Linked DNA regions of Anolis sagrei. The protein of the gene in region 3 interacts with the protein of the main gene of each other region in a pairwise test. Links are inferred from orthologs where the notes say so. Each region holds a gene or a part of one and is shown on either strand. Other genes may lie near its edges. The genes, in order: PPP2R3B, EIF5 and DUSP12.

Region 1 (7,382 bases), on a different chromosome or scaffold from region 3:
TATTAAAATCACTTGCTCTTGTTCCATTGCTTTATCTCTGTTGTTGCTGATGTCCTTCACCGCTTTTCTCTGAATATACAGAAGAATTTCTTGTTTTCCTTTACTTTACACACTGACTGTTAGATAATTTTCCCCCCATTGCCCTGGCAACCCGTTTCCTTCTTCCATCTCCTGTTGCATTTGCCTTGACATTTAAAGTCTGCTACATTGGAATGGACATTAGAAAGCAGACTGCTTTTAGAAGCTTCTTTGTAATACAGTTGTTTGCCTTCAAGTTAACCCAGTCACAGTTTTCTTAGCAAGATCTATGCAGAGGGGGCAACCTCAATGGCCTCCCATTGAGGTTGAGAGAATGTGACTTGCCCAAAGCCACCCAGTGTATTTCCACGGATATGTGGGGACTTGAAACCGGGATTCCTGATGAAAGCATAATGCCAAACTGACTTTGTAATATCTGCAAGTAATTACTACCTTAGGGTGCATCTACTCTGTAGTTCTAATGCACTTTGACACCGCTTTAACTACCATATGCTATGGAATTGTGAGAGTGGTAGTTTTACAAGTCTTTCGATTTCTCTGTCAAAGACTGCTGGTACCTCATCAAACTACAAATTCTAGGTTTTCATAACATTGAGCCATGACAGTTCAAAGTGATGTCAAACTGCATTCATTCTACAATGCAGATGTGCTCTTAGTTAAGGACTGTACTAAAAAGGGAGGCTTTCATAGTTTGGATGGAACCAGTACGTAGGTTAATTGTGAGTGAGACCTTTTTCCAGGTAGCACCGCAACAGGCACACTGATCTAAGCTGGAAGAAGAGGTTCCTGGTGATTGAAATTAGGCAACTGAACTGGTTTTTCAGGAAGAAGTACAATCCTGCCTAAAACCAAATATAAATCTCCATCCAGATTAGGGGTCTTCTTGATCCCAGTTTCTCCTTACTTGCCTCAAACTATTGCTTCGTTGCACACCTAAATTAAGGTCACCCATCAAAACTCAGGGATGACTAGATGAGAAACAAATGTACTATTTCAACCCCACTGACACCTAGCCTGAATGCAAATTGTCCTCTTCCAGAAGTTAGTAAAGGTGCAGAGCTCATACAATACTACAGACCAACATAGGCTGTCTTTTCCTCTTGTCAGAGACAGAAAATGTGTGGTCCTTACGATATTGGTATCAAACTCACAAGAAATGGTTGGGAAACTGCATTAAGGAATGACGGTGTGGAAGGAGGCAATAAAGGGTATGCCAAAGCACCCCTAAAAATGGTCACACAAAGCCGGTGTCTCAAAACTACAACATACATTTAGTCATTTTAGACAGAAAATACACAAGAAAATACACACTATTGGGAGAGAATCTGAAATGTAGGCAAAGAAAGTTGGGAGAAGAGCTCTCCAATAATAATGGTGGTGGTAGTGATGGTGATTGTCCACTAATGGGAAAAAATTAATACATTGATTAGAGGGGATTTGAAACACTAGCAAAGGAAATGGGAAGAAGTTCTCTATTATTATAAATCATCATCATCATCATCATGAATGTCTTACCCACTTCTCTTGTAGACCAATGCTGGGAACTGCAACATATTAAAATACAACAGACACCCATTGAAAACACATAAACCAGTGAAAACATTAGTTTAAAAGAGCATATAACATCAAAAGAGTACAGAATTTAAAATTTATGGGTGATTAAGAATTCTTAAATACAAAACACAAAACACATTTTATATTTCCAGGCTCTTATACAAAAACGAAGAAAGATTCACAATCAACAGATGCAGGGTTGGAATATGATCACGTTCACAGAAAAGAAGTCCAGCCTGAAGTCCTCTTCTTCCTCATTCCTGACCTAAGGGGCATCTACACTGTAGAATCTAATCGCTATGGCTCAATGCTATAGAATCCTGGGAGTCGCATTTTAGTGAGACGCCAGTACTCTTCGGCAAAGAAGGGGAAAGACCTTGTTAAACCACAACCCCTACCATCCCATAACATAAAGCCATGGCAAGGGCAAACATTTGTCCTTCAGGTGTTTTGGACTTCAACTCCCACAATTCCTAACAGCCTACCGGCTCTTGTCAAAGGCTTTCATGGCTGGAATCAATGGGCTGCTGTTAATTTTCGGGGCTGTATTGCCATGTTCCAGAAACATTATCTCCTGGTATTTCACCCACATCTATGGCAGGCATCCTCAGAGGTTGTGAGATCTGTCTTTTTTTTTTTTTTGTCTTGTCAGGAGTGACTTGAGAAACTGCAAGTCGCTTCTGGTGTGAGAGAACTGGTCATCTGCAAGGACATTGCCCAGGGGATGCCCGGATGATTTTGATGTTTTATCATCCTTGTGGGAGGCTTCTCTCATGTCCTCGCATGAGGAGCTGGAACTGACAGAGGGAGCTCATCTGCCTCTCCCCAGATTCGAACCTGTGACCTGTCAGTCTTCAGTCCTGCCGGCACAGGGGTTTAACCCACTGTGCCACCGGGGACTCCTGAGAGGTAGCCGGAAACTAGGCAAGTGGGGTTTATATATCTGTGGAATGTCCAGGATGGGAGAAGTACTCGTCTGTTGGAGGCAGATGAGAATATTGCAATTGGCCACCTTGATTAGCATTGAATAACCTTGCAGCTTCAAAGCCTGGCTACTTTCTGCTTGGGGGAATCCTTTGTTGGGAGGTAACTGGCCCTGATTGTTTCTTGTCTGGAATTCCTGTTTTTTAGTGTTGCGTTTTATTTACTGTCCTGATTTTAGAGTTTTTAATACTGGTAGCCAGATTTTGTTCATTTTCATGGTTTCCTCCTTTCTTTTGAAATTGTCCACATGCTTTGTGGATTTCAATGGCTTCTCTGTGTAGCCTGACATGGTGATTGTTGGAGTGGTCCAGCATTTCTGTGTTCTCAAATAATATGCTGTGTCCAGTTCCTGTTGTCTCACCTCTGTTCTTAACTATGAGTTATGTAATGTTTGTAACTCGGAGACTGCCTTTATATGAATGCTATTCATAATAAGTCATTTGGTCTCCAATATTCTAGCTAACAGATAATACCATTTAATGATATGATCTCCATTTAAGAGACTATATCATTCTTCAGGGGAGCCCCCGGTGGCGCAGTGGGTTAAAGCACTGAGCTGCTGTGCTTGTTGATCGAAAGGTCGCAGGTTCGATTCCGGGGAGTGGCGTGAGCTTCCGCTGTCAGCCCTAGCTTCTGCAACCTAGCAGTTCGAAAACATGCAAATGTGAGTAGATCAATAGGTACCGCTCCAGCGGGAAGGTAACGGCGCTCCATGCAGTCATGCCGGCCACATGACCTTGGAGGTGTCTACAGACAACGCTAGCTCTTCAGCTTAGAAATGGAGATGAGCACCACACCCCAGAGTCAGACATGACTGGACTTAATGTCAGGGGACTACCTTTACCTATCATTCTTCAGACTTTCTCTTTTGTCCACACATCCCCAGGGATTTTCCATGTTCAGAATGTAGATTATTCTTAGTTTCACAACCCTGTGTGTTTTTATGAGCTCCCTGCACATAACCTACTCCTATTTTTATCTCATTAGAGTCTTTTAATCATTTCATCCTGTACATGTGGCCCGCCCACTGTTATCGTGATTGTGTTTATTTTGTTACTATGTTTATACTTTTTCTTCTTCTATGTAATTTTGATTATGTTGCTTGTTGTTTATGTTTTGATTTTATTTTGCTGTAACATGTTGTCCTGGGCTTGGCCCCATGTAAGCCACTCTGAGTCCCCATTGGGGAAATGGTGGTGGGGTATAAATAAAGATGATGATGATGATGGGTTCATCAGGTGCCCTGCTATGGCTGACTTCTCTGACTGAATTGGTCTGCAGTACCTTTCATGTTCCTTGATTCGTGTGTGGGCAATGCTGCGTTTGGTGGTCCTTATGTAGACTTATACACAGTTGCATGGTATGCGGTAGACTCCTGCAGAGGTGAGAGGATCCCTCTTGCCTTTTGCTGAACCTACCGGCTGTTAGGAATTGTGAAAGTTGAAGTCCGAAACACCTGGAGGGCCGAGGTTTGCCCATGCTTGGTGTAGATGCATCAGAGATTCTACATCAGAGATTTTCGAACAGTTGGGCTTCTAGGTTTCGAGGACCCCAACTCCCAGAAGCCCTTGCAAGCTTGGCAAGTGCTGAGGGCCTCTGGGAATTGAAGTCCGAAAGACCCGGAGGACCAAGCGCGAGGACACGCCGCTCGGCACAATGCACGGCGCGCGCGCTTCCATCCAAACATTCTCCGCCCCCGTTCATTGTCCCCTTGCCCGTAGTGCGCAGGCGCCATCGGAGCGCGCATGCGCGGAAGGAACCAAAACAGAAAACTTTGGAACTCCACTCAGAAGAAACCAACGGCTCGCAGTCAGACTGGGAGGGAAGACGGGGCTTGGGTTCCCTCGCGTGTTTTGTTGTTGTCTAAATTGGGGCGGACAGGCCCTTTGCCCGCTGCCAGAGGGCTTGTGGGTTGCTGGCAGCTTCGAAAGGTGAGTTTATCCCTGTGCGAGAAATCAGGAGGCCACGATGGCATCAGTTGTGCGGAGGAAAGCTTCTGTGTGAGTCTGCTTCTGTATGCCTTCAAGTGGTTTTCGACCCAGTCACAGGGCTTTCCTGGCAATGGGTCTTGGCCATGGCTTTTCTCTGAGGCTGAGAGAGTGTAACTCACCTAAGGTCAGCCTCTGGGCTTCCACTGTAGAATTAGTGCGGTTCAACACTTTCATTGTAATTGCTCCATGCTATAGAGCAGGCATGGGCGAATTTGGGCCCTCCAGGTGTTTTGGACTGCAACTCCCACCATTCCTAACAGCCTCAGGCTCTTTTCTTTTCTCCCTCAGCCGCTTGGGAGTTGCAGTCCAAAACACCTGGAGGGCCCAAATTCGCCCATGCCTGCTATAGAGTCATGGGTGTTGTATTTTGAGATTCCTCTTCTTTCACAACGAAAGAAAGGCGAAAGGCCTTATAAAACTACAACTCCCAGGACCCTATAGCATTGAGTCATGGCATAGTATCAATATGCATTGAATTTGCAGTGTAGCAGCACCCCATGTCTCCTCAGTCATAGTCCAACGCGCAGACTATTTCACTCTATGTTTGGAAATGCAAGGAGTGCTAGTTGCTTGTTTCTTCAAACTGTTTTTCTTGGGGTTTCACAAATATACTCAAACTAAAAGTGTGCAAACACATACAAAGATTTAAAAAAAGAACACAGAGCAGGTGGAAACAAGAAGGAAACAGACTTCTTTCCTTCTGGTGATTATAAGACCAAACCTATACATTTTTACTACTCCAACTAAGAATTGACTCAGCACATAGAAGATGGCTTTGAATGGCAGCAGATCACAGGAGCTGTCTTCATAGACCTGTCAGCAGCCTATGATACTGTGAACCACTGCCTCCTTCTGAGAAAAATGTGTAATATCACAAAGGACTACCACCTCACCCGCCTCATAAGAAACCTGCTACAAAACAAGAGCTTTTTTGTTGAGTTCCAGGGCCAGAGAAGTAGATGGCGGAAACAGAAGAACGGCCTGCCTCAGGGGAGCGTGCTTGCTCCATCCATGTACAACATCTACACAAATGACCAGCTACTGCCAGAAGGGACAGAGAGTTTCATCTATGCTGATGATCATGCCATTACTGCTCAAGCAGGGAGCTTTGAGATGGTAGAACGGAAGCTCTCCGAAGCTCTAGGTGCTCTTACTGCCTATTACAGGGAAAAGCAGCTGATCCCTAACCCACCTAAAACACAGACATGTGCCTTTCATCTCAACAACAGAGAAGCATCCAGAGCTCTGAAGATCACCTGGGAAGGAATCCCACTGGAGCATTGCAGCGCACCCAAATACCTGGGAGTCACTCTGGACCGTGCTCTTACCTACAAGAAGCACTGCCTGAACATCAAGCAAAAAGTGGGTGCTAGAAACAATATCATACGAAAGCTGACTGGCACAACCTGGGGATCACAACCAGACACAGTGAAGACATCTGCCCTTGCGCTATGCTACTCTGCTGCTGAGTATGCATGCCCAGTGTGGAACACATCTCACCACGTTAAAACAGTGGATGTGGCTCTTAATAAGACATGCCGCAGTATCACGGGGTGTCTGCACCCTACACCACTGGAGAAATTACACTGCTTAGCCAGTATTGCACCACCTGACATCCGCCGGGAAGTAGCAGCCAATAGTGAAAGGACCAAGGCAGAGACATCTCCAGCTTATCCCCTGTTTGGGTATCAGCCAGTGCATCAACGACTCAGACCCAGAACCTCAACCAATGGCTGATACCAAATGAGAGACTCCCCCCTGGACACACAGAAGACTGGGTGACTTGGAAGGCGCTGAACAGACTGCGCTCTGGCACCACGAGATGCAGAGCCATTCGAATATATTTTGAGCATGAGTTGACCCAGTACACCATTGTGTGACAATATATAAAATAGCATAATCAAAAATAACAATTTTTGGAATGGGGGGTGGGTATTTTCAAGCAGTGAATACAGAATCTGTGGCTATGGAGGATCTATTCTATTTTCTTTAAGAAGGCAGCTAGTGTTCCCAATCTTTCAAAAATATCTTTGTTTTTCTCTAATCAAAATGGATAATTTGTCAATTTCTGCTACATTGTTCAGCCCTAACAGCCATTCTACCAATAAAACAGTCTTCCATCTTTCCACATATAAAAATCTTGCTGCAATAATATTGTAGTAATATTCCGTGCTGTGTTAGTTGTTTTTCTAAACAAAGCTGAATCCACATTATGAACTTTGGAAAGTGTCTGCGGTAAAAACCTGAATATCCTAAACTTAAGGCACAAAATCCTAGTTGATCTTAGAAGCTAAGCAGGGTCAGCCCAGGTTAGCACTTGGATGGCAAACCAAAAAAGAGTATCAGGTGATGTGAGTTGTATTTCAGAGGAAGAAACTGGCAAAACTACTCTTAAGAATTTATTTATTTATTTATTTATTTAAGGCATTTGTGGGGCCCCTTTCTCAGCCTTACAGCGACTCAATTTCTTGCCTTAAAAACCCTGTGAAATTCTTGTGGTTACCATAAATCCACTGGTCAGTGTTTTTATGGATGTATAGTATTCTTTGCGCAGTTCCTCCCTCCTGATACTGACTTATCAAACAAGAACTACAATCCTATTTGTTAGGCCTTAGAGTAGCCTCACTAATTGTTGAAAGATGAGTCAATACCCAGGATAAATCCAATTGGGACTATAATGGAATCTAGTGGAAACTAACCATTGGCTTCAGGACATCGTGTCAGGAAAGATCTAGGTCAGAGGTTCTCAACCTGGGGGTTGCTGCGCCATTTTCTGGGCTTTGCGAAGGTGCCCCAATTGGCCCTGCCCTTCTG
Region 2 (7,078 bases), on a different chromosome or scaffold from region 3:
CACAGACGCTTCACAGGTTTATTCTAAAAGTTTCAGGGATTACAAACCACCTTTCCCAGATTCCACACAAACATGTCTTTCGTGTCCCCCTCACCAAAACCTTCATTTGATTATGATTGTATAGATGTATTTTAGCTGCTCCAAGTCTCTTATTGGGAGATGGAGGCGGGGTATAAAGTTTATTTATTATTATTTTATATTGTGGATATTATTTCATATGGTGGATGGATGTATTTCTATTCAATTCAAGGTGCTGGTTTTGACCTATAGAGCCCTACACAAGTTTGGTCCAGGTTACTTGGGACACTGTGTCCTCCTATACGGTCTAGTAAGGAGACCCTGATTCTGACTCAGTCCCTGGCCAACATGCACTTAAAGATCACTAGAGAAGGTACATTCTTGGGTGCGGTTCCTAAGCCGTGGAACTCGCTCCCACCCTCATGACATTTAGGAAAGATGTAAAGACTTTCCTTTGAAGCAGCTTTTAACCGAAGCCAGGCACTTATAGATACAGAAGAACGGGGAATCTTAGATTGAATTTAATGTTCAATAATACGGAAAGTTTTTAAGGATTAATGAACCCCTAATACTTGTGTAATGATGGTTTTTAATTATTTAAAGTAATTAAATAAGCCATCCCAAGTCCCTTCTGGGAAATGGTGGCAGAATATAAAATACATTTATTACAATTTCTATGTATGTTTTAAATATGATGTGAGTCGCATTGGCTTTGTGCTGGAGAAAGAAATCTCTGTAATAAACAAATAAGTAAATGTATTTATTTTCATATGCTGGATGGACGTATTTTAATTGGTTATTAATAGGAGCTAGTTTTTGCCTCTTGTGTATGTTTTATTTCGGCACATAATTTTATACTTACTGTGATGTTTTGATGTTGTAATTAGTGTTTGTGGTTGCTTTTGTATTTCTACTACAATTTACTGATTTATGTTGCTTTGGTCGCTGATTATTACTATGTATAATGTATTTTTGTTGCAAGCCACCCCTCCCCCCCGGCTCTTTTGGGGGAGGAGCAGGATACATATAGTTTCATTATTATTGTTCCTATGTTGGATGGATGCATTTCGTGTCCCTATGTTGGATGGATGTATTTCGTGTCCCTATGTTAGATGTATGCATTTTGTGTGCCTATGGATGGATGAATTTCGTCTCCCTATGTTGTATAGATGTATTTCGTGTTCCTATGTTGTATGGATGTATTTCATGTTCCTATGTTGTATTGATGTATTTTGTGTTCCTATGTTGTATTGATGTATTTTGTGTTCCTATGTTGTATGTATGCATTTCGTGTGCCTATGTTGTATGGATGTATTTTGTGTTCCTATGTTGGATAGATATATTTCATGTCCCTATGTTGTATGGATGCATTGTGTGTCCCTATGTTGTATGGATGCAATTCGTGTCCCTATGTTGTATGGATGCATTTCATATTCCTATGTTGGATGTATGTACCTCATGTTCCTATGTTGGATGTATTTATCTCATGTTCCTATGATAGCTGGATGTATTTTCATGTACTTATGTTGAATGGATGCATTTTGTGTTCCCATGTTGGATGGCTGCATTTCATGCTTCAAAACGTTTGGTGTTTAAGCATCGCTTGGGTTTTGAAAATCAGTTCTGAGGATCCGAGGAGTGGATTTTCAAAAGCGAGGGATGCTCAAACACCGAACATTTTGAAGCACTATGTTGGATGGATATATTTCGCCTCCCTACATCATGTCCTTATGTTGGACTGATGTATTAGGATCCAAGGAGTAGATTTTCAAAAGCGCGGGATGCTCAAATACCAAACATTTTGAAGCACTATGTAGGATGGATATATTACGCCTCCCTATGCTGGATGGATGTAGTTCATGTCCTTATGTTGGACTGATGTGTTCCTATGCTGGATGGCTGCATTTCATGTTCCTATGTTTTGTTGTACCCTGCTTTGAGCCTTTAGGAGAGACGGGTAACAAATGCAAATGTATTATTATTATTATTATTATTATTATTATTATTATATAATAATAACTATTCTACAGCAGGTATGGGCAAACTTGGGCCCTCCAAGTATTTTGGACTTTATCTCCCACCATTCCTAACAGCCTCAAGCCCTTTCCTTTTCCTCTTCAACTGCTTAGGAAGGACCCGAGACTGTTAGGAATGGTGTGTGTTAAGTCCAAAACACCTGGAAGGCCCAAATTTGCCCACCTTGAGCCTTTAGGAGAGGCAGGTGACAAATGCACATTTATTATTATTATTCTACACTAGGCGTGGGCAAACTTGGGCCCTCCAGATGTTTTGGACTTCAACTCCCACCATTCCTAACAGCCTCAGGCCCCTTCCTTTTCCCCCTCAGCCGCTTAAGCGGCTGAGGGGGAAAAGGAAGGGGTCTGAGGCTGTTAGGAATGGTGGGAGTTGAAGTCCAAAACACTTGGAGGGCCCAAGGTGCCCATGCCCATTCTACAGCTTCTTGGAATGCGCTTCGCCTACGAAACAGCGCCCCCTTCAGGACAAAGAAGAGAACCTTCCACACACACCAGAGTCCCCGGATGTTCAACCGCCCTTCCTCCCTTCATTTCCCTCAGAGGCCTACTCACCGTTTTCGTCCAATACAGACATAAACCCAACGCTGCTCGCCCCGGGCTGCGACGAAGCCGAATCGGTGCGAGGAGAAAATCGACGAGGGTGTCGGGGTCTCACGGGGCGGCTGGTCGCGGCCGAGCGAGGGAGGGAGGGGGAGCACGGAGGAGGAGGAGGCGGACGCCGCAGCCGCCCGAGGAGGAGGGGAAGCGGGGCGCCCGAGCGTCGTCCTCACCGAGGCTTCAGCGGGGTTTCAGCGGGAGCGGCGGGCGGGCCGGGGACTCTGTGGATGAGGAAACACAGTCAGCGCCAAAGCTTCCTTCCAGGCGGCGGCCCGAGGAGGGGCAGCAGCAATGGCCGCCGAGCACTTACCTCTAGAATGTTCTCGCGCCGACTGAACAGCCCCGTCGCCAAGGCTGGGATTAATCAGCCGCCGCCGAGGCCACGCCCACGCCGGCCCGCGATTGGTTCCGCGCTCGGCGTGGGCGCGTTCCATTGGCTCCCGCCACCCGCCAATCAAGCTCCTCGTCGCCTCCCTTTGCTTCTTTTCTCTCTCTCTCCCCCACCCATCGAAAAAAGGACATCGCGTTGACAAGGCGGGACTCAAGTCTCGCGAGAGCTGGGCTCCATTGTGCAAGGGAGAAGGGAGATTGAGTCAGTGCCTGGCTGGTTAGAAGGAAAAGCGCTCGACCAGGCCTAGGTGTTTTGGACTTCCAACTCCCACAATTCCCAATAGCCAGAAGCCTCAGGATGGAATTAAAGCAATGATATGAATTCCTGGGACATATAGTTTGTCATATAGCTTAGAGAAGACTGAGGGGAGCAGAATCATAGAATCAAAGAGTTGGAAGAGACCTCATGGGCCATCCAGTCCAACCCCATTCTGCCAAGAAGCAGGAATATTGCATGCAAATCACCCCTGACAGATGGCCATCCAGCCTCTGCTTAAAAGCTTCCAAAGAAGGAGCCTCCACCACTCTCCGGGGCAGAGAGTTCCACTGCTGAACGGCTCTCACAGTCAGGAAGTTCTTCCTCATGTTCAGATGGAATCTCCTCTTGTAGTTTGAAGCCATTGTTCCGCGTCTTAGTCTGCAAGGAAGCAGAAAACATGCTTGCTCCCTCCTCCCAGTGGCTTCCTCTCACATATTTATACATGGCTATCATATCCCCTCTCAGCCTTCTCTTCTTCAGGCTAAACATGCCCAGCTCCTTAAGCCGCTTCTCATAGGGCTTGTTCTCATATAGCTTAGAGAAGACAGAGGGGAGCAGAAGACATGTCCATCTTGTCTTTACTAATAATATAATAGAGTATATTGTATATACATATCCATCTTGTCTCCAGCACTGTGCTTATGATATAATGTAATATAATATAATATATTGTGTATACATATAATATAGATAATATATTATAATGTAATACAATATAATATAGGAAGAACTTGAAGACTTGGCTATCTGGTGTGCCTTTCCAGAATAGGAAACTCCAGCAACACGTCCCAGAAGCACTTTACTAGAGACCTAAGATTGTCAGCACGTTGCATTTACCCATTACTGCTCAAGCAGGGAGCTTTGAGATGGTAGAACAGAAGCTTTCTGAAGTGGAATCCTCACATGTGAAGCTCTAGGTGTTCTCACTGCCTATTACAGGGAAAACCAGCTGATTCCCAACCCATCTAAAACACAGACATGTGCCTTTCATCTCAAGAACAGACAAGCATCCCGAGCTCTGAGGATTACCTGGGAAGGAATCCCACTGGAGCATTGCAGCGCACCCAAATACCTGGGAGTCACTCTGGACCGTGCTCTGACCTACAAGAAGCACTGCCTGAACATCAAGCAAAAAGTGGGTGCTAGAAACAATATCATACGAAAGCTGACTGGCACAACCTGGGGATCACAACCAGATAAAGTGAAGACATCTGCCCTTGCGCTGTGCTATTTTGCTGCTGAGTACGCATGCCCAGAGGAACACATCTCACCACACTAAAACAGTGGATGTGGCTCTTAATGAGACATGCCGCATTATCACAGGGTGTCTGCGCCCTACACCACTGGAGAAATTACACTGGTTAGCTGGTATTGCACCACCTGACATCTGCCGGGAAGTAGCAGCCAATAGTGAAAGGACCAAGGCAGAGACATCTCCAGCTCATCCCTTGTTTGGGTATCAGCCAGCACGTCAACGACTTAAATCTAGAAATAGTTTTCTAAGATCTACAGAGACACTCGCTGGAACACCTCAGCAAGCGAGAGTCCAAAAGTGGCAGGCTCAAACCCAGAACCTCAACCAGTGGCTGATCCCAAGTGAGAGACTCCCCTTGGGCACACAGAAAACTGGGCGACTTGGAAGGTGCTGAACAGACTGCGCTCTGGCACCACAAGATGCAGAGCCAACCTTCAGAAATGGGGCTACAAAGTGGAATCCTTGACATGCGAGTGTGGAGAGGAGCAAACCACTGACCACCTGCTGCAATGCAACCTGAGCCCTGCCACATGCACAATGGAGGACCTTCTTGCAGCAACACCAGAAGCACCCCAAGTGGCCAGCTACTGGTCAAAGGACATTTAATCAGCTACCAAGCTTGAAAATTTTGTATTTTGTCTGTTTGTTAGCTTTGTTATGTTAGAAATGTAATATAATCGACTGGTTGCCCTGACACAATAAATAAATAAATAAATAAAATATAGTATATTGTATATACATATCCATCTTGTCTCCTGCACTGTGCTTATGATATAATGTAATATAATATAATATATTGTATATACATATAATATTGATAATATTATAATGTAATAAAATATAATAATACTACTAATAATATGATACTATATATATTATATTAATGTAATATTACTGATAATATTACAGTATAATGTTATAGTACAATGTAATATATAATATTAATATTGTGCTGTGGTAATAATATAATATATTTACTTTTTACTTGTAAGCCGCTCTGAGTCTCCTTCGGCGTGAGAAGGGCGGCATATAAATGCCGTAAATAAATAATAAATAAATAAATTATGCTGGGAAACATGGAAGGAAAAAGGAAGAGGGGCCGACCAAGGGCAAGATGGATGGATGGTATCCTTGATGTGACTGGCTTGACCTTGAAGGAGCCGGGAGTGGTGACAGCCGACAGGGAGCTCTGGTGTGAGCTAGTCCATGAGGTCACGAAGAGTCGGAAGCGACAATGAATAAACAACAACAGCATAGTTTAGTGAGGCACCAGGACTATGTGACAGAAAAGTCTTTGTGAAACCTCAACTCCCAGCTGAAGTGTGCGGGGATATGAGAGAAGCCTCCCACAAGGATGCTAAACATCAAAACATCCGAGTGTCCCCTGGGCAACATCCTTGCAGACGGCCAATCCTCTCACACCAGAAGCAACTTGCAGTTTCTCAAGTCGCTCCTGACACGAAAAAATTAAAAATAGATAATATAGAAAACCATTAGTAATTTATAATACTAATTTTGTGCTATGCTAATAATATATTATATTGTATATAATATAATATTGATAATTTTTTTTCACATGGGCCATCTAGTCCAACCACCTGCCATTCCGGAAAAGCACAATCAAAGCACCCCTGACAGATGGCCATCCAGCCTCTGTTTAAAAGCCTCCAAAGGAAGGAGCTTCCACAATCTAGGGCAGAGAGTTCCACTGTTGAACGGCGCTTATAGTTAGGAAGTTCTTCCTAATGTTCAGGTGGAATCTCCTTTCCTGTATTTTGAACCCATTGCTCCATTGAGTTCTAGTCTCCAGGGCAGCAGAAAACAAGCCTGCTCCATCTTCCTTATGGCACCTTTTCACATATTTAACCATGATTATCTTGTCTCCTCTCAGTCTTCTCTTCTGCAGGCTAAACATACCCAGTTCTATAAGACGCTTCCCATAGGGCATGATCTCCAGACCCTTGATCGTTTTAGTCGCCCTTCTATGGACACATTCGAGCTTTTCAATATCTCTTTTGACCTGTTGTGCCCAGTCCGGGACATAGTATTCCATGTGAGGTCTAACCAAAGCAGAATACAGGGGCACCATAGAATCATAGAGTTGGAAGAGACCTCATGGGCCATCCAGTCCAACCCCCTGCCAAGAAGCAGGAAAGTTGCATTCAAAGCATCTCCGACAGATGGCCATCCAACCTCTGTTTAATGACTTCCCTCAACCTAGACACTACACTCCTTTTGATGTAGCCCAAAATCCCATTGGCTTTTTAAATTACTACATCATACTGTTGCCTAATATTCAACTTCTTGTCCACAAAGACTCCAAGATCTTTTTCACATGGACTGTTGTCAAGCCAGACAGCACCCTTTCTGTATCTTTGCGGTTCATTTTTTTTCTGCCTAAGTGTAGTATCTTACATTTGCCCTTGTTGAAATTAATTTTGTTAGCTTTGGTTATCTGTTAAAGTCATTGTAAGACCTGTTAAGAATTCTGAGCCTGTTTTCTGGACTATTAGCTATCCCTCC
Region 3 (7,167 bases):
GCACAGTGGTTTAACCCACTGCGTCACCAGGGGCTCCTGTTTTTGAACTGTTTGGCTGGCAGAAGCTGGGGCTAACAGCGGAAGCTCATGCCGTTCCTCAGATTTGAATCTGCAACCTTCTGATGAGCAAGTTCAGCAGCTCAGTGGTTTAACCCACCGTGCTACCGGGAGCTCCTGTTTGAATACCTAAGTCCCAACTGAAATGCAGAATTCAATGTTTACAAAAGAAAAGCAAGTCTGAACCACTACAGACCCACTAAGAAAATCCAACAAAAGCTACATTCAGCAAAAGACAAGAGGGATCCTCTCACCTCTGCGGGAGTCCACCTGTGGACAAGTCTACATAGGGACCACCAAATGCAGCATTGCCCAAACACAAATCAAAGAACATGAAAGGCACTGCAGAGAAGTCAATGGCTCAACCTGAGAAGTCAATGGCTTCTTTGTGTAGTCTGACATGGTGAATGTTAGAGTGGTCCAGCATTTCTGTCTTCTCAAATAATTTGCTGTGTCCAGGTTGGTTCATCAGGTGCTCTGCTATAGCTGACTTCTCTGGTTGAATTCAGTCTTTCATGTTCCTTGATTTGTGTTTGGGTGTTTCATTTGGTGGTCCCTATGTAGACTTGTCCATACGGTAGACTTTTCCCCCCCAATATGTTTTTAATGCAGACACAGGTAGAATAACATCACAATCCATCACCATTTCAAAATACATATCAAATCTTATTTTCTTAGTGTTCTTAACTTTGCCGATTCTACCTTTATCTCCTACTTGTGTCTACCAATTTTACACCCCTCCCCCCACCTTCTGGGAACAGTACTTTCCTGCATTCAAATATTATTTTAATTGAACAATCGTAGAAAGAGAATGGTTCAGTTCTATATATTTTCCTATTTATTTGACTACCCCATTTCAGAATCCAATTCTTCTTGATTTATGATAGACTCCGTTGATAGTTTGTAACTATCTAAAGACCCACTAAGAAAGTCCAACAAATGCTACGTTCAGCAAAGGACAAGAAGGATCCTCTCACCTCTGCAGGAGTCTATCGTATACCATGCAGCTGTGGAAAAGTCTACATAGGGACCACCAAATGCAGCATTGCCCAAACACAAATCAAGGGATATGAAAGGCACTACAGACTACTTCAACCAGAGAAGTCACCCAAAGCAGAGCACCTGATGAACCAACCTGGACACAGCATATTATTTGAGAACACAGAAATGCTGGACCACTCTCACAACCACCATGTCAGACTACACAGAGAAGCCATTCAAATCCACAAGCATGTGGACAATTTCAACAGAAAGGAGGAAACCATGAAAATAAACAAAATCTGGCAACCAGTATTTAAAAAAACCTCTAAAATCAGAACAGTAAATAAAGAGCAACACTCAGAAATCAGGGGAATTCCAGACAAGAATCAATCAGGGCCAGCCAAAACCTCCCAATAAAAGATTCCCCCTTGCAGGAAGCAACCAGGCTTTGAAGCTGCAAGGTTATTCAATGTTAATCAAGGTGATCAATTGCAGCATTCACACTTGCCTCAAACAGGTAAGAGTTGGTTGTTATAGGTTTTTTTGGGCTATATGGCCATGTTCTAGAGCAGGGGTCCTCAAACTAAGACCCGGGGGCCAGATATGGCCCTCCAAGGTCATTTGCTCGGCCTTCGCTTAGGGGCAACCTAAATCTGAAATGACTTGAAAGCACACAACAACAACCCTATCTCATCAGCCAAGAGCATGCCCACACTTCTGACTGAAATAATAATAGGTTTATATGTTAAAATTGTTTTTCATTTTATTTATTGTATTGCTTTAAAATGTTTTTTTGCAGTACAAATAAGATATGTGCAGTGTGCATAGGATTTCATTCTTTATTTTTCAAATTATAATCTGGCCCTCCAACAGTTTGAGAGACTGTGACCTGACCCTCTGTTTAAGAGAATGTTCTAGAGACATTCTCTCGTGACGTTTCGCCTGCATCTATGGCAAGCATCCTCAGAGCTTGTGAGGTCTGAGTTCTTTGTCCCACCCTGGACATTATTCCACAGGTATATAAACCCCACTTGCCTAGTTTCCAACAAAGATCACAACCTTTGAGGATGCCTGCCACAGATGCGGATTTCAATGGCTTCTCTGTGTAGCCTGACATAGTGGTTGTTAGAGTGGTCCAACATTTCTGTGTTCTCAAATGATATGCTGTGTCCAGGTTGGTTCATCAGGTAATCTGCAACAGACCTCACATCTTCTGAGGATGCGTGCCATAGATGTGGGCGTAACGTCAGGAGAGACTGCTTCTGGAACATGGCCATACAGCCCGGAAACCTCACAGCAACCCAGTGGTCCGGCTATGAAAGCCTTCGACAACAGAGAGGCTGGATGGCCATCTGTGCGTGTGTGGGTGTTCCTGCATGGTAAGAGGTTGGCCCTGGGGTTCCCTTCCAACTCTGTGATTGTAGGACAGGCGTGGGCAAACCTCGGAGGAATTAGTCCAAAGCACCTGGAGGGCCGAGGTTTGCCCACGCCTGTCCCAGGACCTGCTTCCCCCCCTCCTCACCACTGCACCAGGAGGGCGCCCTTCTCCTTCCCCCGGACCCTGTCGATGAAGGCGGCGGCCTGGTCCAAGCGGCTCAGCAGGTCGCTGCCGGGCTGGTCGAGGGCCTCCAGGTGCAGCACGTCCTCCAGCCCCACTTCCCCGGGGGGCTCCGAGTCCACAGACAAGAGGGCCGTGACGCCCGCAGGCCTCTCCGCCGCTTTCCCGCTTTTCCCTGCAGGGCCCACGTACAGCCCCGGAAGGACCTCCACCGTCGTCATGGCCTCTGCCGCCTCCTTCTCCCTCGCCTGAGAATGTGGGAAAGCCATGCCTGAAGCCTTCACTTCCGGGTTTGCTTGAGAAAGTGGGAAGGCCCTGACCGAAGTCGTCACTTCCGGTGTATCTTCACAAAGCAGAAGTTGCACCCTCCAGGAGAGTTTAGCAAGACCAAGGGATCCTAGATTGTCTGTCTTTCCTCCACCACGCTGTGTAATTTGCATGATCCCGCCCACTGCCTCTCCCTTAACCCTTTCCTGTTCTTTTCTATGGTACACCTCAAACGCAGAGGAATTGAATTATTCTGACCCTAAAATGTGTCACTTTGATAGCCGCTGCTGTCCAAGACTATTGCCATCATGTCGTGGAGGAGCCACAGGATATTCACAAATTTATCAGGGCACCCATTTTTCAGGAAGATGGTCCACAAACCATTACGGTCCATAATGTCAAATGTCTTTGCAAGAACCTTAAAAATAGGAAGGGGCTGCAAGGACTATGTAATCCAACTCCACTTTGAAAGAATATGCAATTATATAGTTCCTGAAACAATGTAAAAATTCTAATGCCCTGCAAGTAAAATTGTAGACTAATTGAAGAATAAAAGTGGGCAACTGCACAAAGGGCTGCAACCATTTGTTTTCCAATTTCTTTGTGTGTCAGGAGCGACTTGAGAAACTGCAAGTCACTTCTGGTGTGAGAGAATTGGCTGTCTTCAAGGACGTTGCCCAGGGAATGCCCAATGTTTTGATGTTTTACCATTCTTGTGGGAGGCTTCTCTCATGTCCCTGCATTGGGAGCTGGAGCTGACAGAGGGAGCTCATCCACATTCTCCCAGAATACGAACCTGCGACCTGTCGATCTTCAGTTCTGCCAGCACAAGGGTTCAACCCACTGCACCAAATTATTATTAATAATACAAACAAAGTATGGATCGTTGATGTTGCAATCCCAGGTGAGAGCAGGATTGATGAGAAGCAACTGGAAAAGCTGACATGATACGAGGATTTAAAAGATTGAGCTGCAAAGACTCTGGCACAAGCCAGTCAAGGTGGTCCCAGTGGTCATCGGCACACTGGGTGCAGTGCCTAAAGACCTTGGCCTGCACTTGAAAACAATCGGCTCTGACAAAATTACCATCTGTCAGCTGGAAAAGACTCCCCTACTTGGATCTGCATGCATTATTCACCGATACATCACACAGTTCTAGAAACTTGGGAAGTGCCTGACGTGTGATCCAATACAACAGCCAGCAGTGATCTTGTTTGCTGTATACTAATCTTGTTGTATATCAAATAATAATAATAATAATAATAAATAATAATAATAATAATTAATAATTAATAATAATAATAATAGTTTTATCTGCCTCTCCTGGCACAGTGGGCCATGGCATCATATCTTGGTATACCTGATGTTATACAACATAACTTTCAGCTGCTATGTTGGTTACTTTTCTTTTTCTTTCTTTCTTTCTTTCTTTTTTGATGTTTTTGGTGATTTGGAGGATAAGGAGAAGCAGATCACTGCATTTTTGGTAGTTTTGGAAGAGTTTGACTGGGGTTGGGTAAAAAGAAGTCCAATGAAAAATGGGCTGAAGATTATGGGACACTTTTTGAGGAACCCGACGGCTGTGTGTGGCCTGCACTTTGTCCATCCCTATTTTAGAACATACAAACAAATTCATTTTAATACCAGTATTTCATTAATTGTTTTCCCTATACCAGCTAGAAATCACAACAAGGTCAAAGGAAATAAAAACCACAAGAGACATTAGTGATATTTGCTTCAGTTTTACAATTTAGCAGGAAAGCAGCAGCACTCTTGCATCTTTCATCATCCAGCAAAAAAAGGCAGAGCGCCACATTCAAAGCTAAGGAGAATTTACAAAGCTGACATTTATAGTTGTTTTAGAATTTTAAACAGTTCTTTGTCCAATCTGTATATATTTTAACAGTGAATTCCTCTGAATGTAGCAGCAATAATAAAGGATTCAACATGTAAATCTGATATAGCACTGTTGCATGGAAACCGAATCTTCTTCCAAACTGGTCTGAAGTGGCTGGGAGCAGAGAACGCTCACAGTCAGATTAAAGTATGTCCAATGGGTCTTTCGAGAAAGCAGTTTGTGCAATACAAAAATTGTTGTCATATACACCTAGCAACTTTTCTACGTGATACATCTGAAACAGTTCATTTGGATTTAGTTTACTGATTGCTTATATTCTTCCAAATTCCTCCTTGTAAAAAAATAACAGAGGCAGGATTACCCGCCTTCTGATCTCTGAAAATGAATTAGACCACCATGGTGCATATGGGATTGGCATGTAGCATGTCATAGAGAGTTCGGAAACCAAATGGAATGGCAGGGCTGCATAGTCAGAGGTCCGGAGAAGAGGGGTAAGAGTAGTATGATCCATTTTCCTGTAAAGATACAAAAGATGAATTGATGCAGTGTACACATAAAAACAAATAATCCCTAAATGAAAATCTTTTCCACCACAGCCATTCATTAGGTAACAAAATCTGAAATAAATTCTGTTCTTGGTCTGAAAATGTTCTTTCCTGTTTAATTGTGTGGTACTTACTTTGAAAGTAGTTGTTGTATTTTGTTTTTGTGGCTGCCACAAACTATGTTGAATTGGTTGAGAGTCTATGAGATATTTGTTAAATAAAACTATAGCAAAGTGTGCTGCAAGATGTCCCACAAAAACTTTTTTTTTTGCATTTTAATAAACTTTTACCATGTTTTTATGATAGAACGAATTAGGAAATGAAAATTATAACCCAGAAACAAAAATTGTGTTACACAGTGATATCTGATGGGTAGGCAAAGCATGGCTGTGAGCTGTATGTGCTTCCCAGAGCTGTTTTTGTGCCCCCTAAAGCCACCAGGGCTCCAAACATATTTTTGAAAAACTTCTCAAAAAAGATCAGTAACGGTAAAGGTTTCCCCTGACATTAAGTCTAGTTGAGTCTGACTCTGGGGGATGCTGCTCATCTCCATTTCTAAGCTGAAGAGCTGCCATTGTCCGTAGATGCCTCCAAGGTCATGTGGCCGGCACGACTGCATAGAGCACAGTTACCTTCCTGTTGAAGTGGTACCAATTGATCTACTCACATTTGATGTTTTCAAACAGCTAGGTTGGCAGAAGCTGGGGCTAACAGCGGGAGCTCACCCCGCTTCCCAGATTCAAACTGCCAACCTTTCAGTTAGCAAGTTCAACAGCTCACTGGTTTAAGCCACTGCACCTCCAGCGGCCCCGAAAAAGATTATTTTGCTAATAATGACCCACAATGCCCTTGAGGGGTTCAGGAAGGTCCCAAAACATGGTGAGAATGCCATGTCCTCTAGAGCAGTGCTCGTTAAAAATTTCCACTCAGGACCCTTCTTGACCTGATAAAATTTATATGGGTATAAAACCCATATATTTACTGATAACAAATCAGCATTTGCAAGGCTTTTTAAACAGACTAATTTTCCTTTTTATGAAGTACAACTGAAGCATCTTCTGCAGAGTCTACTGTAAACCCTGAACAACAGATTTGCATAAATGTCTAAAACAGCCATTTTATCATTTTATCTTGTCCATTTGGCCTGCCCATTGTGTTCAATTTTCTATTATGCTATTTTGCTTTGTTTATTTTATTTTGCCACTGTATGTACTTTATTGTGATGTAATGTTTGGTGTTGTATTTTGCACTTTATTTTGCTGTATTGTATCTTTGGGCTTGACCTCACGTTAGCTACCCCAAGTCCCCTTCGGGGAGATGGTGGCGGGGTATAAATAATGATGATGATGATTATTATTATTTGAAACACAACAAGATAATCCACAGCGGACAAGATCACTCTGCTGGCTATTGTATTGGGTCACATGTTGGACACTTCCCAATAATAATAATAATAATAATTATTATTATTATTTCTCCCTTACTTCAAATATGAAGCCCCTTGATGAGCAACCTTAAATAAATATTTGATAGGCTTTGAGGTTTTAAATCTTGAGTTAAGTTTTGCCAGTCTGCTACATCAAAAGATATTTAAAAAGTGTCTGTAGTAAATCACTGGCTTAGATAATGTAGTTTAATAAGAAAATATGAAAAAAAAACCTATTTTGGTAAGAAGTACTTTCACACCAACACAAACAGAATCAGTTTAAAGCAACTTTCCAGTCAAGGCACATGCTATAATAATTCTATAATCTTTCCAAGCAAAGAGGAAGAAAGCCACTTTTATACCTGATTTATGAAACGAATGAGATAAAGTCTAGAAAGAACAGACATTTATATCTTGAAACTACCTACCCTGGTATCATATTCAAGAACAAATGGAGGAAAGTCAATCTGTTCAG

Evidence for each region.
Region 1: the proteins of DUSP12 (region 3) and PPP2R3B interact in binary tests that used the Homo sapiens proteins (3 or more experiments, as listed by UniProt). The two-hybrid records come from large-scale screens. The link is inferred for Anolis sagrei from reciprocal best matches to the Homo sapiens genes DUSP12 and PPP2R3B.
Region 2: the proteins of DUSP12 (region 3) and EIF5 interact in binary tests that used the Homo sapiens proteins (3 or more experiments, as listed by UniProt). The two-hybrid records come from large-scale screens. The link is inferred for Anolis sagrei from reciprocal best matches to the Homo sapiens genes DUSP12 and EIF5.

What each region holds. Positions count from the first base shown.
Region 1 is NC_090023.1:99,404,256-99,411,637, forward strand, and holds the start of PPP2R3B (serine/threonine-protein phosphatase 2A regulatory subunit B'' subunit beta), read left to right. Parts: upstream 1-4,310; 5' UTR 4,311-4,508; intron 4,509-7,382. UniProt on the Homo sapiens protein: The B regulatory subunit might modulate substrate selectivity and catalytic activity, and might also direct the localization of the catalytic enzyme to a particular subcellular compartment.
Region 2 is NC_090021.1:327,805,736-327,812,813, forward strand, and holds the start of EIF5 (eukaryotic translation initiation factor 5), read right to left. Parts: upstream 3,066-7,078; 5' UTR 2,962-3,065; intron 2,873-2,961; 5' UTR 2,607-2,872; intron 1-2,606.
Region 3 is NC_090022.1:199,090,769-199,097,935, reverse strand, and holds the start of DUSP12 (dual specificity protein phosphatase 12), read right to left. Parts: upstream 3,064-7,167; 5' UTR 3,037-3,063; coding exon 2,561-3,036; intron 1-2,560. Other genes in the region: GDAP2 (ganglioside-induced differentiation-associated protein 2), read right to left, coding at 5,192-5,236, 7,121-7,167. UniProt on the Homo sapiens protein: Dual specificity phosphatase; can dephosphorylate both phosphotyrosine and phosphoserine or phosphothreonine residues. Can dephosphorylate glucokinase (in vitro).